Linked DNA regions of Caenorhabditis elegans. The protein of the gene in region 2 interacts with the protein of the main gene of each other region in a pairwise test. Each region holds a gene or a part of one and is shown on either strand. Other genes may lie near its edges.

Region 1 (8,350 bases), 530 kb from region 2:
ATTTTCAAGAAAACAACAACATGTAACATTCCACATTCATCTGATGAAGATCGTCTTGCTCAAGCCAATATGAAATCTATTCAACATAAGTCACTTCTACAAATTTCTACAAATCTTCAGAACCTATCATAATATTATTTCCGGCAATTACTATTTTACGCCATTTGTCCCTGAAACTCAATCAACGAGATATCCCTTTATGCTGAAACCTATTGGAGCCCAAAATAGCAGCTTTCTACGTGAAACCGTTTGATTTTTGCGTTCCGTTTGAATGTGATTCACCTTTGTAAACTTATTCTCCCAACTTAATCCCCCTAACTATTTGATGGTTTATAGTATCACTTTACCATTTTTTTCCTTCTTCCCGTTGACTATTCTGTGATGTTATTTAATTTTTGTAATAACGAGAATGAATTATATATTTTTTAAAAATGGGAAAGAGATCAACCGTACTAAAAAATCATATTTTCAAAGCTTCAATTTTGAAGGGTTTGTTGGTAGAAACGCTACTATAAATCTTAGAATTAATCTATTTTGTTCAAATCTATTCATTCTTGAAAATATTGATTTTTCAGCACTGTTATCAAATAGTTTTCAAACTTCGTTCAGAAACACTATATATGAATTCTAAATATCAGTAGCAATTTTGTACACTACACGGAGTAGCAATAGTTATACTAGATGTCACAAAACAAAAACGAATAACGCTTGCATATTTCATTTTTAAAACTCTGAAACAACTTTCGAAAGCTATGTCTAAATTTTACTTTTTGTGGTTATTTTAGGTGTACGGAAGTAAAAAAAGTCCAAAAACGTTATTCTTACTGTGAGCGAGACAGAAGTAAATGTCAAAATATAAAGGTATTTTTTGGCAAACCTTTTAATTTCAGAATTAATTGGAAATTGTTTTGTATCATGTCTATTACATAGTTCATTAACAATATACGGCTAGTTTCGGAGTAGGAACAAGGTTTCTTTGTCTAAATGTTTCAAATTGTTACCTGATTAACTTTTAAAAAACTCACATGAGAATTGGCTTTAACCATCGCATTTAATGCAAACAGGCGAATTTGTTCAGCTCGCATATCCCGTGTTTTAGGAGCAATTATAATTGAACTCTCACGTGTAACAGGTCGCGATATGAATAATGTTATACAAATTACAGAAATCGAAGCTATTATGATAAGAACTCTTGCAATCGACATGATATTCGTGTGTGGGGCGAACATAATTGAAAATAAATGAAACTTCCAAAGTACCAAATTATGAAAGGATTGTGTGGGATTTGTGGTAATACCTGTGTGACGTTTTAGCCAAAAAAGGGTTTATCGATGACAAAATTGAGAAAAAAAACGAATTTGGTGCATACTTGGTAACTGAATGGCACATTATCAGACTTTTACAATAAATATGGCACATTGGGATATGGTAATCCAATATAGTATTTTTTGGCTATTAGAAGCCCTCCGGCAATGGGTAATTGAGAATGACAAAGTCGTGGTAGAACATTCGCACCACGTATTCCATTAACAGTGGGCTCTCTCGGAGTCTGCAAAAACAAATTCGTGAGGCACATTCTTGAATTTCACATAAAGACGAAGACCCCCCAAATTGTACCACCCATTACCGAGGGTAAAGCATCTGCATTTTAGAACCAGAAAATAGTGAATCGCCGGAAAAAGAAAGCGTCAAATAATGTCATGATTTCTGAGATGCTTCTTATTTCCGCACCACCATGCCGAGTCACAAGTTCACCACAACTTTTCGGACAAAATGTCATTTTCCTCCTATTTTGCATACCTACCTCCTTTGGAAAAACTCTCTGGCCGGCGAATAAGCGGTCGTATGTGAAGTTTTTCGGTTTTTGGTTAGTTCATTTTCAATATATTCCAACTCCTTTTCTGGAATCTGAAAAATAAAAAGGTAAAGCATAAGTGAAACAAAAATGTAATTCATGACCATAAAAGTGAATTGTTATTTGATGTTTATCTTCATCTCAGCATTTTTTTCATGCTGCCACAAAACCCGCAGTATAAAAAAATAACGAAAAGTGGCTTCATCACGGCTTGTGTTCCAAAACAAACTATTTTCATAACTTTAATGAGCCGGCCGGTATTTTCAACCTCACTCACCCCTTGACGTCTAGCAATTTTGAATAAGTCTTCCATGAGTTCTTTCGATGCATCACTTGAATATCTGATAAATTCATATTTATTTCGCATTGTCTTGATATCACATCTCCTGGAAAATTTGTACGTTGTTATTTTGAAATTTTTTTTGTAATTTTATAGAAAAATCAGAGTCTTACTCTAGGTGTATTATATTCAAATGATATTTTTATTTTTAATTTGAGAAATCCGAGAAATCGATTCATGCTTTGTAAAAGTTAGGATAATGTGTGTGCACTGCTACTGAAATATCGCCCAAAATAATTTAGGTGCTTGTGTATTACATGCCCTCACTTTTAAAGTAATTTTTCAAGTTATGAAAAATAAAGACGTGAACCACAATTTTATATTTTTAGGCTTAGGAAACAACATTTTCTAAGCTTAAAAAGGAAAAATGTATATCATGTTTAATTTAATTGGTGAAATTAGTAAAATATAATTTAATTTGAAAATGAGGGCATGTAATACACAAGTATCATAATTTATAAATTCGCTTACACTTGATACATATTTGAAATGTGGAGTATCACCAGTAATGCTAAAGTATACAATATCAACATTAAACTTTTTAAAAGACTTTCATAAAGCAGTCGGAATATCAATTAAAATACATCGTGATTTTGGAAAATAATCAGCAAAAGTTTTTAAGTGAAAATGTCCAAACTTTCTGAGACTATCATAACTTGCCAAAACTTTGACTGGATTTAAAAAGTGTCTTTTTGATTTCACATTGTCTGTAAAGTATATTTTGAAAAAAAAACATCCACTGGTGGTATTCCTGTTTTTTAAAACAATTTGAGATTATCTTAGAACTCTTTCATTAAATTTTAAACCATCCATTTTTCCTGAAATCTCCTAGAGTGTCATGAAACATTCCCACTTGTGCTGGTGACCAGTACTCGGCTTCACTACTAATATTTAAGATTGTACTGTCGCTTTAAAGAAATTTTGACATGACTAACGGAGTTGCTGATATTTTTCCATAAAAATTACAAAAATGGGATTTTTTTGAAATGTTAAACTTCAATCCTTTTTTAGTGATCATACACAGGTCGATCGCTAATTTAATTGAATGTGAGACTACTTATTTCATTTTCTCAGACTGTTGCGTCAAATTTTTTTCAAAATTATACTATGAACAAAAGTACAAATTAGTTATAAGGAAAATGTGGTTTTTATTACAAAATGGGAAATATCAAATGTCTGAAACAATTTTGGATTTTACTTGTTTTCAAGTGAATGTTTGTCAGTTTGTACTCTCTATGAGTATTGCGCGCGAGAACGTGTCTCAAAATTAATATTGCAGTCATGTTAATATAGAATAAACATGGTAGTGTTAGAAAAGCGCGTTCATAGAAATATGTTGTTAGATTTCTAATGCAAAACTTTTCGCGTTTTTTGATTTTTTACGACAAACCCTTCCACACAAAAAGTTTCTTTGACGTTTTTACCCTTTTCTTTGTTGTGGGTATCATTCAGAAAAACGCGAGAATCTTAATAATTCAATAGTCTTCCTCTCACCAATTCTGCGGATAAAAGTGTCGATCCTCAAAAGTGTTTGTGAGAACCCCTTTGTGGGCTTGCTTTTTGAATCTTTCATACTCGCTCAAAATGAAGCATGTCATATTCTTATCGCATCCGTTGCACGGACTCGGTCCCTCAGCCACTCTGCAATGTGACAATAAGAAGAAAAAGTAAAGAGGGGTGAGAGGGTAGTTGATGGGGGAAGAAGTTGTTGTGGACTTGGACTTTTAGACGAACCTTATGCATCTATCCACATAACCCGATATGAATCTGTCAATGGGATCTCGTGTTATCATTGACAAACTCCATCCAGTCATTTCACTCGCATTATATTTTTTCTGAAGACTCTTCAAATGACGAAATGTGTTGTCGCCTCGGCAGAGCCTTAAATTTTTAAATAGTTTTTCACTCTTAAACAATCTTCAAATCTTCAATCTTTGCTCCCTCACTCACGATTCTTTATCCCATTCGGACATGTTCATTTGCTTATCGACTCTCACAAAACGGTTTCTATTGAACAAATAACACCAGATCCCGGTTATAACCGTAGACATACTCTTGTGAACTACACAGTGGGCCATTTTGTAATCCGGCGCGACCTTTAACATAAAAGTTAGAATTATGATCTTTGCATTGGTGTCTCACTCGATATCTGGTCTCATGGTTTAAAAATGGGCGAATACAGTGATCTGTGTTGTTGCAAAACTCTCGAGCGGTTCCTTTTAAAACACGTGGTTGAACTACCTGAAATGTGCCTATAATATATTTGAAGAGCGTTTTGAAAAACAAATGTATTGGGTGTCTGTAAAATAGTTAGGTCAAACAATTGGAAGTGAAAGCAGTTGCTCAAAAACTTAATAATGTTTCAATTATTTGAATTTCCAAATTCTTACGTTTACTCACAAAATTCAAATTTTTGTAAAATGTGGCATTAAAAAACAAATTTTGGAAATATCTACACTAGCTCTTTTTTTCCAATTTTTTCAGCCATTCTCTACAGTGTGCCCAATTTTTTTGTAAGGAGGAGATTACCCAAAAAAATTGGCAGTGTTATAGTTATATTGTGAAGAATTTAACAGGGTTATTGCATTCACATTGTACCCTCTCAATTTGATCTCTAGAAGCGACGCCAAAAACATGACCTGTTCAAGTATGTGTGATGCTAATATTTTCCTAGACACGAATTTCTGAGTTTCCAAGAAATTCTTGACCTCAAAAATAGGTATATTTTTCAAGCATTTTCAAAAATTGTTTGAAATATTTTTAAGTGCCATCAAAAAAGGTGTAAACTCAGTTTTCATTTTCCGTTAAGTTTGTTCAGAACTTTTTTAAAAGATTTTTATGATCTAATTATGTTTTACTTATTTTCATTTGAACATTATAGAGATTGCGGCAATGCTCGAAGCTTTTCAAAAAGCTCACATTGATGGGAATTTCGCCAATTATAAGTTTGTGAAATTGGAAAAAAATTAAAGTATTTTCATATAATATTCGGACATGTTAGACTACAAGTGTATTTAGACCAATGGGCGGTATCTTTAAAACATTAATACTGGATAACTTTCAGCTTAGGCTATGAAGTTTTTATTCTAAACCTATGCAATAATAAAAAAATTGAACTTCCGTGTTTAGAAATGTTCACTTTTTGATACGGCTTCTACCCAACACATTATTGAAAGAACAGCTTCCCAAAATTCAAATCTAAAACTTACGTCACTGTTTTGCGCTTTTAGTTCATCCATATTGTGGTATAAACTGAAAAATGCCTTCATCTGTTTTTTCTTCGTTGGAGCATCGTCGGTATTCGAGTTAGATATTGAATATTCCTCGGATTGTTTCACAAATCGATGATAAGAATGCATGACTTCCGTCAAAAAAATAGCAGCTCCTAGTACAAATAGGACAAAACCAAGTATTCTCGGAACAATATTGGTCATTTTCAAACGCGATAATTTTGTGAATGAAAATTTGCGAACAATGAAATGAAATGGTACTTTCATGAAGGCGGAGAGATGCGTTCTTTGAAAGTAGTTTAATCTCTTTTTTGGTATTGATCTACTGTGATCAGGTACAATTTTGAATGAATATGCGGGCGGATAAATCTGTCACCCACGTGAAGCGATCTCGGTTAATCTCGCACAAAAATCGTAGAGTTGTTCTCCATTCTAGAAATGCAGGTATAGATCTAGTAAATATGAGTAATGTATGTAACATACCTGAACACACAGTAGTGATCAAAAGTCGATCGGTGTAACTTTTGAACAACAAATTTGATGTTTTTGCTTTCTGTATTTGGGTGATTTTCCAATTTTTCCTAATATTATAACTTGAAAACTGCGGATTTTGGGAAAAAAGTTTTAACGACGGAAATTTTGTGCATAATATTTTTTACATTTTTGCTGTCGCCAAATTGATATCAACAAGTTTCAAAAAAAAGTTCTGGCGGGGCAGTCTCATCGCATAGACTATTTCAGTAGTGAAACTTGTTTCGAAAAAAAACCCAATTTATTAAAAGTTGCACACATATTTGTTAGAAATAAACTTGCGACATGTCATCAGCTTTAATTTTTTTTGAGTTGAGTTAATAAAATATTGTGAAAAAAACGAGCTGACAAAATTTTGTAGAATGTTTTGCTGGGCAAAAAAAATTAGACTCAAGATCCGTAACTGAAAACTGAGAACGACCAAAAAAAAAGCTCCGAGTCTTCGGTTCCACGGATTCACAGAACGATGTAGTAGCAGGTCCCAAAATTTTTTTTCAATTTTTATTATGTGAATCTGATTAGTATTTTGAAACTTAATGTTGAAATATTTTTAAAAAAAGTTCCTGGAAATTCTTGAAACAATGCCCATACTGCAACGTTTCTGATAGAAACGTTGCAAATGAACAAAAATTAAAAAAAAACAAATTCATTAACCAAAACATTTAAGAATATTGCTCACAAAAAGTTGAGCCCGTACACTTATATTTTTCTGAAATGTTCATAAATACAGTCATAGTTTTTGTTTTTCACTTTCTGGAGAAATCACAGTCCCGATAGTGTACGTATCCCAAATCTTTTGAAATTTTTCGTTCTATGTTTTTGGAGACAAAAAGGACAAATCACTCGAAACGAAAGGATAGAAAGTTTCAATTCCCTCGGAACAGTTAAAAGACACCAATGTATTTCTGTCAAAAGATGTGAAAAAAAAACAAAAAAAACAGCGGAAAAAGAAAAATGTTGCGATGCCTGCAAGTTTTCTGGCATCATGTCCAAAACGTGTCCTTCACTTTTGCTCCTGAAAGACTGGAGGCTGAAGCTCCTGATTTTTCTCCAGGGACCTGTTTATCACCTACTCCGGTCACTTCATATTTTTCATCCAAAAAAGAAAAAAACGACAAAAGCTCTCCCGGACTCCTCATTTGCATGACGAACCTAGAAAAAACAATGGTGAGGATGATATGCTGAAAACAATTTTTCTTATTTCTGTTCCGTTTTTCTGCATTGACCTTAATCTGTTCAGAAAAATCTCGGCTCTTCTTCGATTCTTCTTTCGTTTTTTCGCTCAAATTTCGAACACGTTTGGTCCCAGTAGACCAGTGTGTCACAGAGTCTTTCACAATTGGTTTCTCATAACTTCTCAACTTCTTGCTCTTCCCGACCATGAGACTATGATAATCAAATTACTCTCTGGATTCTACACTAGAGTAGTACTGCTCCACTTCCTTGTGCTCTTCTAGATGCATTATTTTTCGGTATTAATTGGTAGATCTCGTTTCAACAACCACCAGAATACAGCTGCTTCAGGAGATTTGTCGAGTACATCAGGAAGCAATAGTGATTAATGAGGTAGTCCTAGAAATCCGTTGACCAACCAACCATGTCGTTTTTCTTTTTCACTTTTCCGCTTTATTTTGAAAAAAGCATAAGAAAAAATTGTTTTTGTTGTGAATTTATTTAGAAAAATCATGTAGAAAATCCTTGCAACAATACTTATCTACTAAGTTCAATCTCTACGAAGATTGACATATTTTTTCTCACAACAAAAAAGGGGATGATGTATGTGTGGTCGATATAAGTATAGATTGAGCAAAATAAAAAGAGAAACTTTTCTCAATGAGTTCCATCTCTTCACCTACATCCGATCACGCATTCAAACTCCAATCTGTCGAAAAAAGAGGACCAGCGATTTATCATGTGGGTTGGAGAGTGTGAGGAATTTTATGTCAGGTGATAAGTTTGCCCCACTATCAGACTATTCGCACCCAATCATCAATTATTAAAAAAGAGTTCTAATGTTGCCGCAGATGAACTATCTGGCTTGATTTTAGAGTTATTGCGCAATGTTTTGAATAGTTTTATTGATTTCCGATTTTTAGTTTCAATTTTCGGGGGCAGATAGCTCAGTCGGTAGTGGTGGCCGCTAGCAGTCTGGAGGTCACGAGTTCAAGTCCGGCCTCACCCCCTAGGTTCACCCAGCCTCTATTGGGAAGTGGAGCAATCCACGACTGGATTATCGGCCACAGTCCCCGGCTAGGACGTGGCTTAAATTACAGCCCAGAGGGATCACCACCAGGCAGTGTACCTGAATCCCAGATCCGCAGTGCATAGCACTTGAAGAACGGATCGTCCTTTAATCCTTTTTAATCCTTTTTTTAGTTTCATAGTACCAGTTTT
Region 2 (7,742 bases):
GAATATGATCGGCGTATGCATCCGAGAAACAATTGGCAGGTTGATTGTCAATGAGAAGCGATTTGAACTACAATGAAAAGCTGGGCGTGGAAGGGACAATGGCCGTCTCGACAACGACAAGAAAATAAGGTCATCAAAATGTCTTTTTGCTGCTTTTCCTCTATATCTCCCGTATTGTTACGCGCGCGCGGATCGGTTGTCCCTCCTTCTCCTCTCCAGATTCCTCGAGATAAGGCAAGTGAAAGTCAGATCTACAACACCGGGAGTGAAGCCGTAGGGGGGGGGGGGGGGGGGCCCAAAAGGCATATTCTCGTATCGGTTTCTATCAGTGCAACACTTTCACTTGCCGTATGTTTGTCACCAATAATCCGGATCGCGAATCAGTTTTTTCGGTGGCTACCCAATTTTCATCAAGCTATTGTTTTATTCAAGAAAAATGGAATCGGTGTGGATCTAGCCATGCGGTTAACGGAAGACGATTTATGACCGGCTATTCCACGCGTATGTGGAGCTAGATTTGTAGCTTGTTTGAAATTCCTACACTATTCGAACAAGTTATGTTCATTTTACTTTACAGAGTCTGATAAGAATTGAAAACCAAGAATAAATAAACATCCCCCCTCCCCTAATTTTACTTTTTCTACGTTACCATGTTTAGTGGTTAGATCGGTTTATAATTCTCTTATAAACCTTCACAGTTACCTCTTAAAATGTTAAATTTTGTTCTGAAGTTTTCCAAAATAGATTGCGGCCTATCAATTTTACCTTTAAATCGAGTGATGAAAAAAAATGCGCTGTTAAAACAATTCTTACATGAAATAGTTTTAAATAAGATATAAGTACAGGGTGGTCCATAATTATGGACCACCCTGTATAAATGAGTCAAAAAATGTATATAAGAGTAAAATGTAAAACATAAAGTGAGATATAAACGGAATAACATTATAGAAGTTGTTTTTATTAGATTTAAATCGTGTTACACCCCTTTTTTATTAAAAGTTGCCAAAGTGTGTTCTTCAGAAAACACACCATTTGCATGTCAGATTCTTAAGTTGACCAGTTCAATGCAAACATTCAGTCAAAATTTCTACAAATGTGTAACCAAGAAGTCAGTTCCGTGAAATTTTTGTGAGCATTTGAAAATACGTGAAATAAAAGTCACCAAGCAAGACATTTATTTTTCAAAAAAGCAAGCATTACTACTATTTTCGAATGGGGAACACCCGTAAATTTATATTACAGACATCAGTAATGTAACGAAGTTCACCTATTACAGAATAGATAAATAAATATATTACAAAGCATGGTTCAGTAAGTATTAGAGTTCTGATAAATTAAAACTAAATTTTAAATGAATTAAAACAACAAAATTCAATAAAATTATTCGTCGTAATATTAGTGTTGTTGAGCAATTTCTGAGAAGAACTGAAGTACAGTGTCAGTGGAAACTTCGAGCTCAATCTTCGAGCCTGGGTAACAAGTGAGAATCAGTTTGTTGTATTCCGCAATTTGCTTGACAAATTGCTCTTGCATATCTCTCCATACAACTTGCAAAAGTGATGAATTGGCAACCAGGTTCTTCTCAATTTTCTTGTACAGTTGCTCGAGTCCTTTTTTCACTTCTTTTCCCGGATGTTGTGAAATTACCTGGAAAATTTATGAAATGGCGATTTTGATGATTAACTAGAAATTCAACCTTTTTAAGCTCAATGCGACTGAATTGTTGTTGATACGAGATTTCATCAGGACGAATTCCACGCGTTTCGATAAAGTTGTTGACATTGTCGAAGAACGTCTGAAATTTTTGGAATACATATCGATAGTTTTGGGAGATTTTTGTTTAAAGGTGGAGTACCGAAATTCGAATGAGATGTTTTGAAAATTCCTCAAAAAAAGTTATGGAGGTTCAAAGTCGGAAAAAAGGTTTTGCAGCTAAAATCACAATTTTTACAACTTCTCGGTGTCGCAGCGTCTGGAACTTAATTTTTATTTATTGATCACTCTTTAATAAATTTGTTGGTCTTTTATTGGGCGTATATGCGCTGAATTGTTGGGTCTAAAATAGCAAAGCCTCAAATTTTGGTACTCCAACTTTAAACTATGGTAGAGTGCCTTTTTTTACAAATGTTGTAGAATGACAAGCCAAAATTAGAAAGAAAAAACTAGTTTAAAGCATAATAGTCAAGTTTTTTTTCAAGCATTGGCAGCACAGTATTGAAACATAAATTTCCATATTTATATATCACCTGAATCTCTTTGAGTGGACGACCCATAAACTCTTTTACGTACGCATCAATATGTTCTTCCTTGAGCGCTTTCGCATCTTTTCGTTGTTGATCCAAACATGAGATTTTTAGCTCCGACAAAGTCACTGAAACATTTATCACCATCACACTTTATTGTTTCCTAGAACACTTACAATAGAGCTCGTGGTAATTTTCAAACTTGACTACAGACGACGGAGACTTGCTGTATTGATTGGCGGCAGCTTTTTGTATCCCGTCACAAACCGCCCGGCAAAGATTGAAATATGCCTTCTCCAAGTCAGTTCTTCTCTCGGCATTTTCAAAGATAATTTCAGCACGTCTCACAAAGTTTGCAAAGCGAAAAATTGATGGGAGAATTCCGATTCTAGTCTTTTTAGCAATGCGAACTTCCGAGTACTGGGAACATTCCATTTGCTGGAAGAGAAGATTATTGCAATTACAGTACATATAAATGGAACTCACAATAAATGCATCAAACTGGCGTTTTATCAGAACAACTAAACTTCCAAATGTGATCGAAAAATAGGAGCTTGGGTCTTGTGGTAGAAGCACTTTCTTCGACATGATTACAAACAAAAGGAGAACATTGCTAAAATGTGTAGGAATTTAAAATAATATGTACGTGTACCTTTTCTCACCTAGGATTGTGCCTACAAACCGCCCGACAGAAACTATCAAGATGAATATTGAGCGAGTCAAACAAGTTGCCCATAACGTGTCTCACTTGCTCGTTCATATGTTTCTCCATACTACGTCCTCCGAGACTTGAGCTATCACCGCTTCCAGTTGAAGTCGTATCGAACTGAGCCAACAGCTCCGAGTTGATGTGGAAGAAGCGGACAACGAACTTTTGCTCTGCGTCAATCACAGCGCTCAGTTCTGCCAGCACCGTTTCGATGAGTTGCGGTAAGACTTCAGTATCAATTTCACTGGAGGTGCTCAGGAAACTCTGGTTGTCAGAACGAAGTGAAATGTTTGCAGATTCATTTGCTTCTGAAATCAGATGATTATTTTTTGCTGCAAATATTAGCAAACATACTTGACTTCTTTTCAGAACTGTTAGCTTTTGGAACTTTGTTGATCAGTGTCTCAAAGAAATTGTCAAATAGACGTTTGTAAAGTAGATTCGTGCTGTCGATATACTTTTGCAAGACTAAATTGCAAGCCTTTGGACGGTTCGTTTTCAGCCAGTTGATAAGATCAGAGAGTGGAGAAAGGGCGCGAAAGCGTTGAGACTGTTTTGGAATACACAGTTCATGCCACTCATGATCCAAAGATAAGTCGTTCTGAAAAAAAAACACGCGTTGAAAATGATTTTATACAGTGCGCGCGCTTGCTACAGGATTCTTCTAAAATTTATAATAGATGTATTGAAAAAACTCCACATTTTAACGTGAATCTATTGTGAAATTATGGTATGTGATGTAAAAAAAGCTTCGCATGCGCTGTAAAATATCTGAAATTCGAGAATTTTGGTTGAAATTTTCAAAAAATTCAGAGGGTCCTTTAGCGAGAGCGTGACCTCCGGAATTCTCTAATACTTCTACAATTTAGGGGGTCCTCGAGCAAGCAAGCACACGTTCATTGAAACTTACCAAATTCGAGAACAGTGCAGAGAGGTGAGACATGAGCCTATCGACAAAGACATCCACTGCGGTAAGCTCATCATTTCTGTCCTGATAGGCTTTCATTTGAAGCATTGGCTTAGAAATCCTCCCGTGCCAGAATTGTGCAACAGCGCGTGCAGCGTCCGTGCATCTTTGAACACTGAAGTATCATAATATTACTTGAAAACTCTAAGTTGTTCACTCTACCTTTCTGGGTTACTGAAGTTAGCTTGTTTCAGAGTCTCAATGTGGGAATCAGTAACAGCCTGCAACGAATTGACAAATGAAACGATTTCCTCGTTGAGACGTTGCTTGTTCTTTCTTTCAACCACCGATAAACTATCTTTCTCTTCGATCAATTCGATACTGTTCCTCACAAACTGAAAATAGTTGATTAAAATTTCAATAAATTCCTTTACAATGTAGTACCGCCAAAATGTCATCACAACGATCAAGCTCTTTTTCGACCGACTCAACACCGGTCAATGCTGCATCAATACTCGAAAGCAACTGGTTTACGGAATTCTCACTGTCCATCATAGAGTTGATGTTGGCTCCATCGAGAGATTGCAATTGCTCCGTCAGCATTTCGGCAAAAATATGTGCTTCACCAATAGTCAAATTAGCTCGCGCAATCAACTTTCGAAAGTCTGCGTCCTCCTTGTTGGATATTGGCTGATAATCACTTTGCATCGCCATATCATGCTCAGGAAGCTCAATGGGTATAATGGAGGTTTCTGATTCAAGTTGCGGTAGAGAGAAATTGCAGAAATCTGGCATCTGGACTGGAAGGTATTGGCATGACAACTAAAATACGAAATTTTCAGTAAAAAAGTTGAAAGTATTATAGTTGGATACCTTGTAGAGTTCTCGAATGAACTCGTCCTTTTCCTCAGCGGAACCAGCCAAAATCACATATTGATGATCACCGATAGTGATGTGGAACTCTGGTGATGCCTGAATTTTTTTAATGTTTGTCAGTTGAATAAAATTCTCAATTTTTTTTAAACCCAAAAAAACTTGAAGTAAATGCGAATTTAACTAATTGATAAGCCATTTTGTCAAAATAATTCCTGCAATTTGCATCATCTTTTCGACAAATTTAGTGTACAATAACTATTCTTTCAACAACTTCTCACCTAACTTTAGCTAATTGCAATTTTTACAATTGATAAAGATCGTTGAAAAGTTGCGGCAAAATGGCGAATTTTTAGCTATTTTAGGTTGATAAACTCCATCAAACATTAGTGTTCGTAAAACTTGAAAATCCTCAGTTATTCGAGAAGCTTCACATTTTTTGCGTTATGTTCTTCGTTACGCTCACATTTGCTCACTACATATATCGTATAAATTGCGTGAATCCATATAATTTTCAAATACTCACTTTTTTCGGATTTATTCCGTCGATTTCTCTGACTTCTCTCAAATTGAACCTGTCCTTCTTTTTGAATGTATCATCTTTCTCCCCTTTCACAAAGTATAAACGGACGGCGATGGGGTGCTCGATTGTGACTGCAAGTTATCGATTTTTATACAGGACAATTCCAAGAATTCTTACCTGCTAAACATAGTAGTGTCTGGTTTTTCTTCTTTTTTCCATCCAACTTTGAGACATTGACTATTGCTTGAATTCTTTCATCGTCTTTCTGGAAAAGTTGCCGCTGGATTATCTTCCTGATTGCAGACATTCAAATCTGAAATTGAAAATTTATATAATCACATTGATTAAGTAGAATAATAAAAATTTTAAACTTAAACCAAGCATTAAAAAAGAAAACAATAAAATCAGGGAATTGGAAACAGTTATGCCCAGTAAAAACATACGGAGTTATTCTGCGTCTCTGCAGTTTTCTGTGGTGACTAGTACACGAAAAACACGCCAGTGGCCGGTTAGCGTGCGCGTTTCTCGATGAACACCACTATTTATATTGCAATGCAGGGAAGCAAAAATAATTTTATTTGGTTTTATTTTTACACTTGCAAAAGATATAGTAATAGAATTGAAACGAATTGATTGACCTGAAAAGATTTATTTTTGGCAATTATTTAAATAGAACACGATTCCTAAAACGGACCGTAAAAAAATGACAATTGAAAGTTTTCAATTAGGAGAATCTGCAAAAGTAAAAAAGAAAGAAACAATAAATAATATTACACGGATCAGAAAAAAAACAACAGAGAGTTTGAAAAGGTCGTGGTTTTGATTTGGAAGTGACTTGAGGCATAAGTTAAAAGTAGAAAAAAAGTAACAGAAAACTTAAGTGAGACAAAAGAAAATGATTAATGACATGTAGCTATATTAAATCGGGGGTAAGTTTCAAAATGAGATTATCACTGAACAGCGTTTCTGACTGGATACATGGTGTAGTTGGTAGTAATCAAAGTGCGACGCAGCGGAAGTGGGCCTGCAGGTGGAAGTGTGTAGTTGCGGTTACGAATTGAAGTCGGGATTTTGATGATCTGATTTATTTATTAGTTTTTACAGTAAATTGTATTATCGCCCCTTTAAATTTTTTTTTATAAAACAAATGTGGACATATGTATATTTCAATACATTTTGTTACATTTCGCGACATTACTTGATTAGCCCCATTAGTAATTATTGTATTCTAAAGAAAAAACACACAAAATATGCTGGACAATCCGAATTTGGAAGTATTTTAAATCTTGGTAACTACTGAAACTTGTCCTATTAGACCTGCTAGCTTATATCTCGGTTGTCTTAAATTGTACCAAAAATAGTACAATGTCAATATGTTGAAAATTATTTTACGTAATTACGCAGTTAAAATGTTTTGATAAAATTAAAGAAAATCGAGATATTAGCTGTCAGCGTGAAGCAATCGGTGAGCAAGTCTAATAGTGATAATACAATATGTAGTAGTACCTTCTGACATGACAAGTAACTTAATGCATTTATCAAAATCTTACCGCTCGACCCTTTGAGTACGGAGCAGATCGCACAGTGTACTGCGGCTGACTTGCCGCCATTTTAGAGACGACTTCTCCAAGACTTTTTCCAGGTGGAACCGGTCGAGACGATTTTTTGCTAAAACGAAAAATATTGTTAAAAACCTAAATTTGGTAGTTCTTACAATTTGACTTGGGGCGGCATTGTGCTGAAAGTCAGTGTCTTAAAAACGGTCGCCGAGGGGACGTAGCTTTCCGAAGGCGAACGTTTTATGAATTTCCCGTAAATAAATGTATTTTTCATGCTCGACACAAAATCATCGTGATCTGCAGACTCCAGCTGAAAAAATAGTTCTGCTTTAAAAACTGCAAATTTAGAACTCTATCTAACCGTTGCCAATAAGTCGCTTTTAGCCTGATTGTAAACCACTAAGCCAATGCTACCCGACATAACTGCCTGCAGTTCACACTTTGCGTACGTGTAATATGCGGTTGTCATCACTGTTTGTTTGTCTCTGGTGAACAAGAATTCCTTTACAAAATCACTGGAACGGCGTGTGATGGCTTGCATCAGAAACGGGCCAGATGGTATTCGAGCATTTTGCATTGACTCACACTGCAAAAAAAAATGTATTTTAAGCGACCAATGTGTACGTTTTTTTTCTTTTTTTTTCTCTCACCACCGGCATCTCTCCACACCCGTGAGTCAGCATTGTGTGGTCACTGGCTTGTTGTAGAGTGTCAAAGTGAACATTACATTCGGAACAGAACCAATTAAACGACACGGGATGATTTAGGGTCTCGTGATGCTCCAAAGAAAATTGTGATACAAAATTTTCAGAACACGTTCCACAACGAAGCATTGCAAACTGACGGGATCTTGTTTTGGGCTCAGTTTTTTGCTCTTTGAGTTCCGTTTGAGGACGGTTCTCATTGAGCCGACGCTTTTGCAAAATTT
Region 3 (4,310 bases), 2.6 Mb from region 2:
CCCACTCGATTCATTTTTTTTCTGGTATTCCAAACTTTTTGTTTTTTTTCTATTGATCCTGCTCTGCCATTTATTTGATCAATTTGCCCCCCCCCCCCTTTTTTTGTTTTTACCTGACATATTTCAATAGTCCTATAAAACAAAATATACTCCTGAAATCTGAGAAGATTTAAATTTAAATTTAAAAAAAAAACTTATTCAAATTTTCACACTCCTTACGTTTCCTAGTTGTATTGGAAGACATGAAAACCTTGTGAGAAAAACGGTCTCCTGATTGTGAGTTCTACTAGTATCACTGGGTCACGCTAAATTCAGGGTTATTGTCTATACTTATTTAAGCAGATGCGTGAATCAATTACGAAAAAGTTGAAACTTATGAAGTAGCCGTACCCCAAAAATGTTATTCATTGAAATACATATTATCAAAACATAAAAACTGCCGCATGAAATTTGACTGCAGCAACGCGCGCGAAATTTTTTCTCTCAATTCCGCATGCCGAAAAAACAGCTGGCCCCGCGGGTGATGGCAGAAACGGGAGACAAGAAAATGCGATGATACAGCGCAAAAACTGCTGTTTCTAGCGTTTTTCATTCTCCTGTTTCTGTCATCACCTGCAGTCAAATTTCATGTGACAGTTCTTGTATTTTGACAATAGTTACCAAAAATTATTACCGTGAGCTTTGCTACAATGTTAGGGCTAGATATGGTAGTTTTCTCTGCGTAAAAATGCAAAACAACCTTTCGTTTCAATTAAGATAAAGAACAATTTAACATAGAAATGGGAAATGTATTTTTGGTGGTATACTGCTATTGCATAAAAATTAAACGTACGACAAGATCCTTCAGTTTGACTGCGTCAACGCCAACGAGAAATAGTAATACTTACAAGAAAAAAAATAACTAGATCCGAATGTCTATCGTGATTGAGTACATTATTTTCTGAGAAATGCTTACAGGCAACTTCTTTCTGTTTTTCATAAATCGCCAAGGCATATTGATATGACGAAACATGACTGTTGATTGAACTTCTAAACTTGTATGTTCTGTTTCAAGATAATTTATTGAATAATCATACTCACACTTAATATAAAAAATAAAAGTGATGAAATTTAATAATCTATGTAGTGACAGGAGGGGAAGAGTAAAGTCCAAAAATTAAAAAAAAAACAATTATCTGAAGAAACTGATATCCAACGGGACAAAGTCTTTCATCAACTGCGACAGCTTGTAATAATCGATGTACTTGGTGTTACGGGAAGTCGTCTTGCTTGTGTAGCTGGTCTGATCTTCAAATTCAGAAATTGATAAATTCATATGGTCCAAGAAGAGTTTCTCAATGACGAACGAGGCCGGATGATCGAAATGGGTGTAGACGACAAAGATCTCTCTCTCCCATCCAAAGTGGAACTCGCGGAGCCAATCATAAGTCTGGTTGAGTCGTTGAATTTCGCTACAGCTCGATCGGCTGGTTCTCTCGTAGCGCATGTTCAGGAAGTTACGAAAGTCTACTTTTCCCACTGAAAAGAAAGAGAGATAAATTATGGTTTGTTTGGTGTTTTACAGAATTCCACCACACAGTCGGAAAAGTCATATATCAAAAGAACAACTGATCTCCGGCGGGACTTTCGTTAAGGATTTTTTACAATATCGTTTCACAATGTCAGCAGCTAGCGGATGTCGTTCGCGCCTAAGGACAAGCCGAAACTTTACAGTATTTTAACAAAAATTGATACTATTTACATGATAGATGTGCTTCATATTCAGCCATAACCTGCTCAAGAGGCACGAGTCATTCGTCGCGGTCCTTGACTGATGTGGGACGCGCATTCCCTTTAGAAACTTCAAAGCTGGATGCGCAGAGATTTAATAGTAAATTACTACCAGAGCTTCAATTGTCGATTGTCAAACAGTTTTTTTGGAAACTTCAACAAATGAAAACTATTTATTTCATTTTTTGTTTAGAAAAACGCACCTTACCGGTTGCCGAAAATTTTACGGCACGGCTAATCTAACTGCTGCACAGCCCTGAGGCATACCGGCATCCTCTCTTCATACTTAAGGATTAACTTATCAGATATTAACTGCATTGGTGAAAGTTTTTTCATTTTTGACAATATGGCTGGAGTAACTAACTTTGCTTTCGCGCTGGATGAGCATCTCCTTCTTCCATCAACCGGATCCAATACCCCTTCTGATCTCTATTCGCTTCGTCCATCATGGATTGAATGATGACTTGGTCGTATTCTTCGTCACCGATTTCTTTTGGTGGGTTCTCGCAGACTTCTTCATCAGCGGGGACGGATGGGCAAGGGATTTGCATTTTTTGCCCGGTTAACATTCTGTAATATTTCATTAATTTAATCGCAAAATTTGAGAACCGATGATGTATGAGAAATATTTTAGTGAGCGAGAATGTGAGTGGAAATAATAAAGCTCAGAATAGTAAGCCAACATAGCGTCCCATGACGAATGAACTCCATGTCATTCACTCCTCCCACTTAACACACGGAGTATCTGCAGAACTCAGCCATTCTGATTAGTCATCATTTTATGGGGGTGCAACGATTTTTCCGGGGGAAAACCTTGGAGTAACATTCAAATTTATTTTGAAGAACGCTTGATATATTTCCGAAAAAATCCGAAAAAATCCAGAAAATTTGGATTCATTCTACGTGTGAGTAGCTTAGAGGTCGTGTTTTTTATCGATTTTATGCGTTTTTTTTTGCGATTTTTTCCGAAAAAATCCGAAAAAATCTTAAAAAATCCGAAAAAATCGAAAAAATTGGAAATTTTTTTGAACGTAGTTTTGAGGATCAATCAGTCTGGAAGTTGGCGGAAATATATGACATCAATATATTTTGTACTACTAACAGACTACTATGTACCACATACTAAATATTTGAGAAAGGATGAAAACTGAGAAAATACAAAAAATCTTTTTTTGTTTTTTGCTCACCCTAATAGTAACATTTTTTGCTCACCCTAATAGTAACACACAACACCACCCTTTGTATAAATAAACTTGGGGGTACGTAGAACAAAAGATTGGGTAATTAATTATATAGACATGAACGTGTCTATGCACATGGATCGAATCTGATCGAATGCTGTCTCGTAGATCGTCTAATCGGAACTGGCGATGTTGCACGTGATGGTCCTCGAGCATTCGGCAAAAGAACCAGAGCATCCTGCTGCTGAGCGTGATCTCCTTGAACTGGTCCTTGAACAACTGGCGACTGAACTGGCTGAGCTGGAGTCGTTGAACTTGAACTTCCAGAATTGTCCTCCTTCAGTGTTGGCATGATAGTTGGCAATTTAGTCTTTCTTTCAATAACTTCATAATCCTCGTTATCATATGGTAACAACTCAGAAGTGTCACTCATAGTATCTTTCCATGCATTTACCCTGACGGTCTCTTTTTCATCAACTCTTGGCTTTAGCTGATTTGCATGAACCGCTCTTTCTCTTCCATCATCTAATATGTTGACATATACTACTTTTCCTTGCTTGTTAGCAACTTTTCCTGGTTTCCATGACCAGCTATTTCTTTCGTACACTTTAGCAAACACTTTTTCATCTTCATGAAAATATCTTGCTTTTGCTCTATTATGCTTATCAAACTGATCTTTCATAGCTAACGTGGAAGCTGTAGAATCTTCAGAATGATCTTTTCTTGGCATCATCAGAGACGTTCTCGTTCTGAGACGTCTTCCAATATGCACTTCCGCCGGTGTCAATCCTCCAAGAGCATTTGACGGCGTTGCTCGGTAGTGAAGCAGAAATTGTGACATTATTTCACTATTGACACCTTTTAACTTTTTCAACCCTCTTTTCAACGTGTCGGGAAAGCGCTCGACTTGTCCATTTGACTATGGATGAAACGCTGGTGACCTTTTGTGCTCAATACCGTAGCTGCGCACATTTCGGCAAACTCTTTCGACACAAACTGTGTCCCATTATCCGAAACAAAAGTATCCGGATAGCCCTGTTGGCAGATGGTTTTGCACCAAATGTTAACCTTTGGTTCTCATTCAAGCCTCTGTGCGTATTCACCGTGAACAGTGGCTTTGACTCATCAGCCAACTTGACTTAAAGGTAAGCATATTTAAAGTCTACCGTCGAGTACCGTGTTCCGTCATTCAATGTCGCGAACACATCGAACACATCTAACACACCACATGTAGAAATAGCAAAAACCAAAACTTAAAAAACCAAAAAATAATTGTTCCCCCAAATGCTTATAATGTGCCAAATGTTTTTTCATCTTCGTCCATTTTTGCCCACTGCTCAAAAACTGCATACATCTCAA

The links. Proteins that work in one complex are often made in the same cells at the same time.
Region 1: the proteins of sec-3 (region 2) and C18B2.2 interact in a two-hybrid assay, tested with the Caenorhabditis elegans proteins (one large-scale study listed by BioGRID).
Region 3: the proteins of sec-3 (region 2) and F28C10.1 interact in a two-hybrid assay, tested with the Caenorhabditis elegans proteins (one large-scale study listed by BioGRID).

What each region holds. Positions count from the first base shown.
Region 1 is NC_003284.9:3,621,195-3,629,544, reverse strand, and holds C18B2.2 (sulfotransferase family protein), read right to left. Parts: upstream 6,084-8,350; 5' UTR 5,630-6,083; coding exon 5,405-5,629; intron 4,437-5,404; coding exon 4,338-4,436; intron 4,292-4,337; coding exon 4,146-4,291; intron 4,077-4,145; coding exon 3,930-4,076; intron 3,837-3,929; coding exon 3,690-3,836; intron 2,242-3,689; coding exon 2,133-2,241; intron 1,909-2,132; coding exon 1,805-1,908; intron 1,550-1,804; coding exon 1,456-1,549; 3' UTR 1,230-1,455; downstream 1-1,229. Other genes in the region: Putative sulfotransferase vep-2, read right to left, coding at 1,026-1,229.
Region 2 is NC_003284.9:3,094,276-3,102,017, forward strand, and holds sec-3 (Exocyst complex component 1), read right to left. Parts: upstream 5,578-7,742; 5' UTR 5,563-5,577; coding exon 5,433-5,562; intron 5,387-5,432; coding exon 5,259-5,386; intron 4,832-5,258; coding exon 4,733-4,831; intron 4,682-4,732; coding exon 4,304-4,681; intron 4,255-4,303; coding exon 4,082-4,254; intron 4,035-4,081; coding exon 3,863-4,034; intron 3,789-3,862; exon of another isoform or gene 3,653-3,788; intron 3,554-3,652; coding exon 3,307-3,553; intron 3,261-3,306; coding exon 2,906-3,260; intron 2,857-2,905; coding exon 2,730-2,856; intron 2,682-2,729; coding exon 2,420-2,681; intron 2,372-2,419; coding exon 2,247-2,371; intron 1,796-2,246; coding exon 1,697-1,795; intron 1,648-1,696; coding exon 1,396-1,647; 3' UTR 1,153-1,395; downstream 1-1,152. Other genes in the region: wrt-2 (WaRThog (hedgehog-like family)), read right to left, coding at 1-21; ztf-13 (C2H2-type domain-containing protein), read right to left, coding at 6,206-6,334, 6,806-6,923, 6,970-7,124, 7,176-7,400, 7,465-7,742.
Region 3 is NC_003284.9:541,118-545,427, reverse strand, and holds F28C10.1 (Sulfotransfer_1 domain-containing protein), read right to left. Parts: upstream 2,322-4,310; coding exon 2,135-2,321; intron 1,519-2,134; coding exon 1,172-1,518; downstream 1-1,171.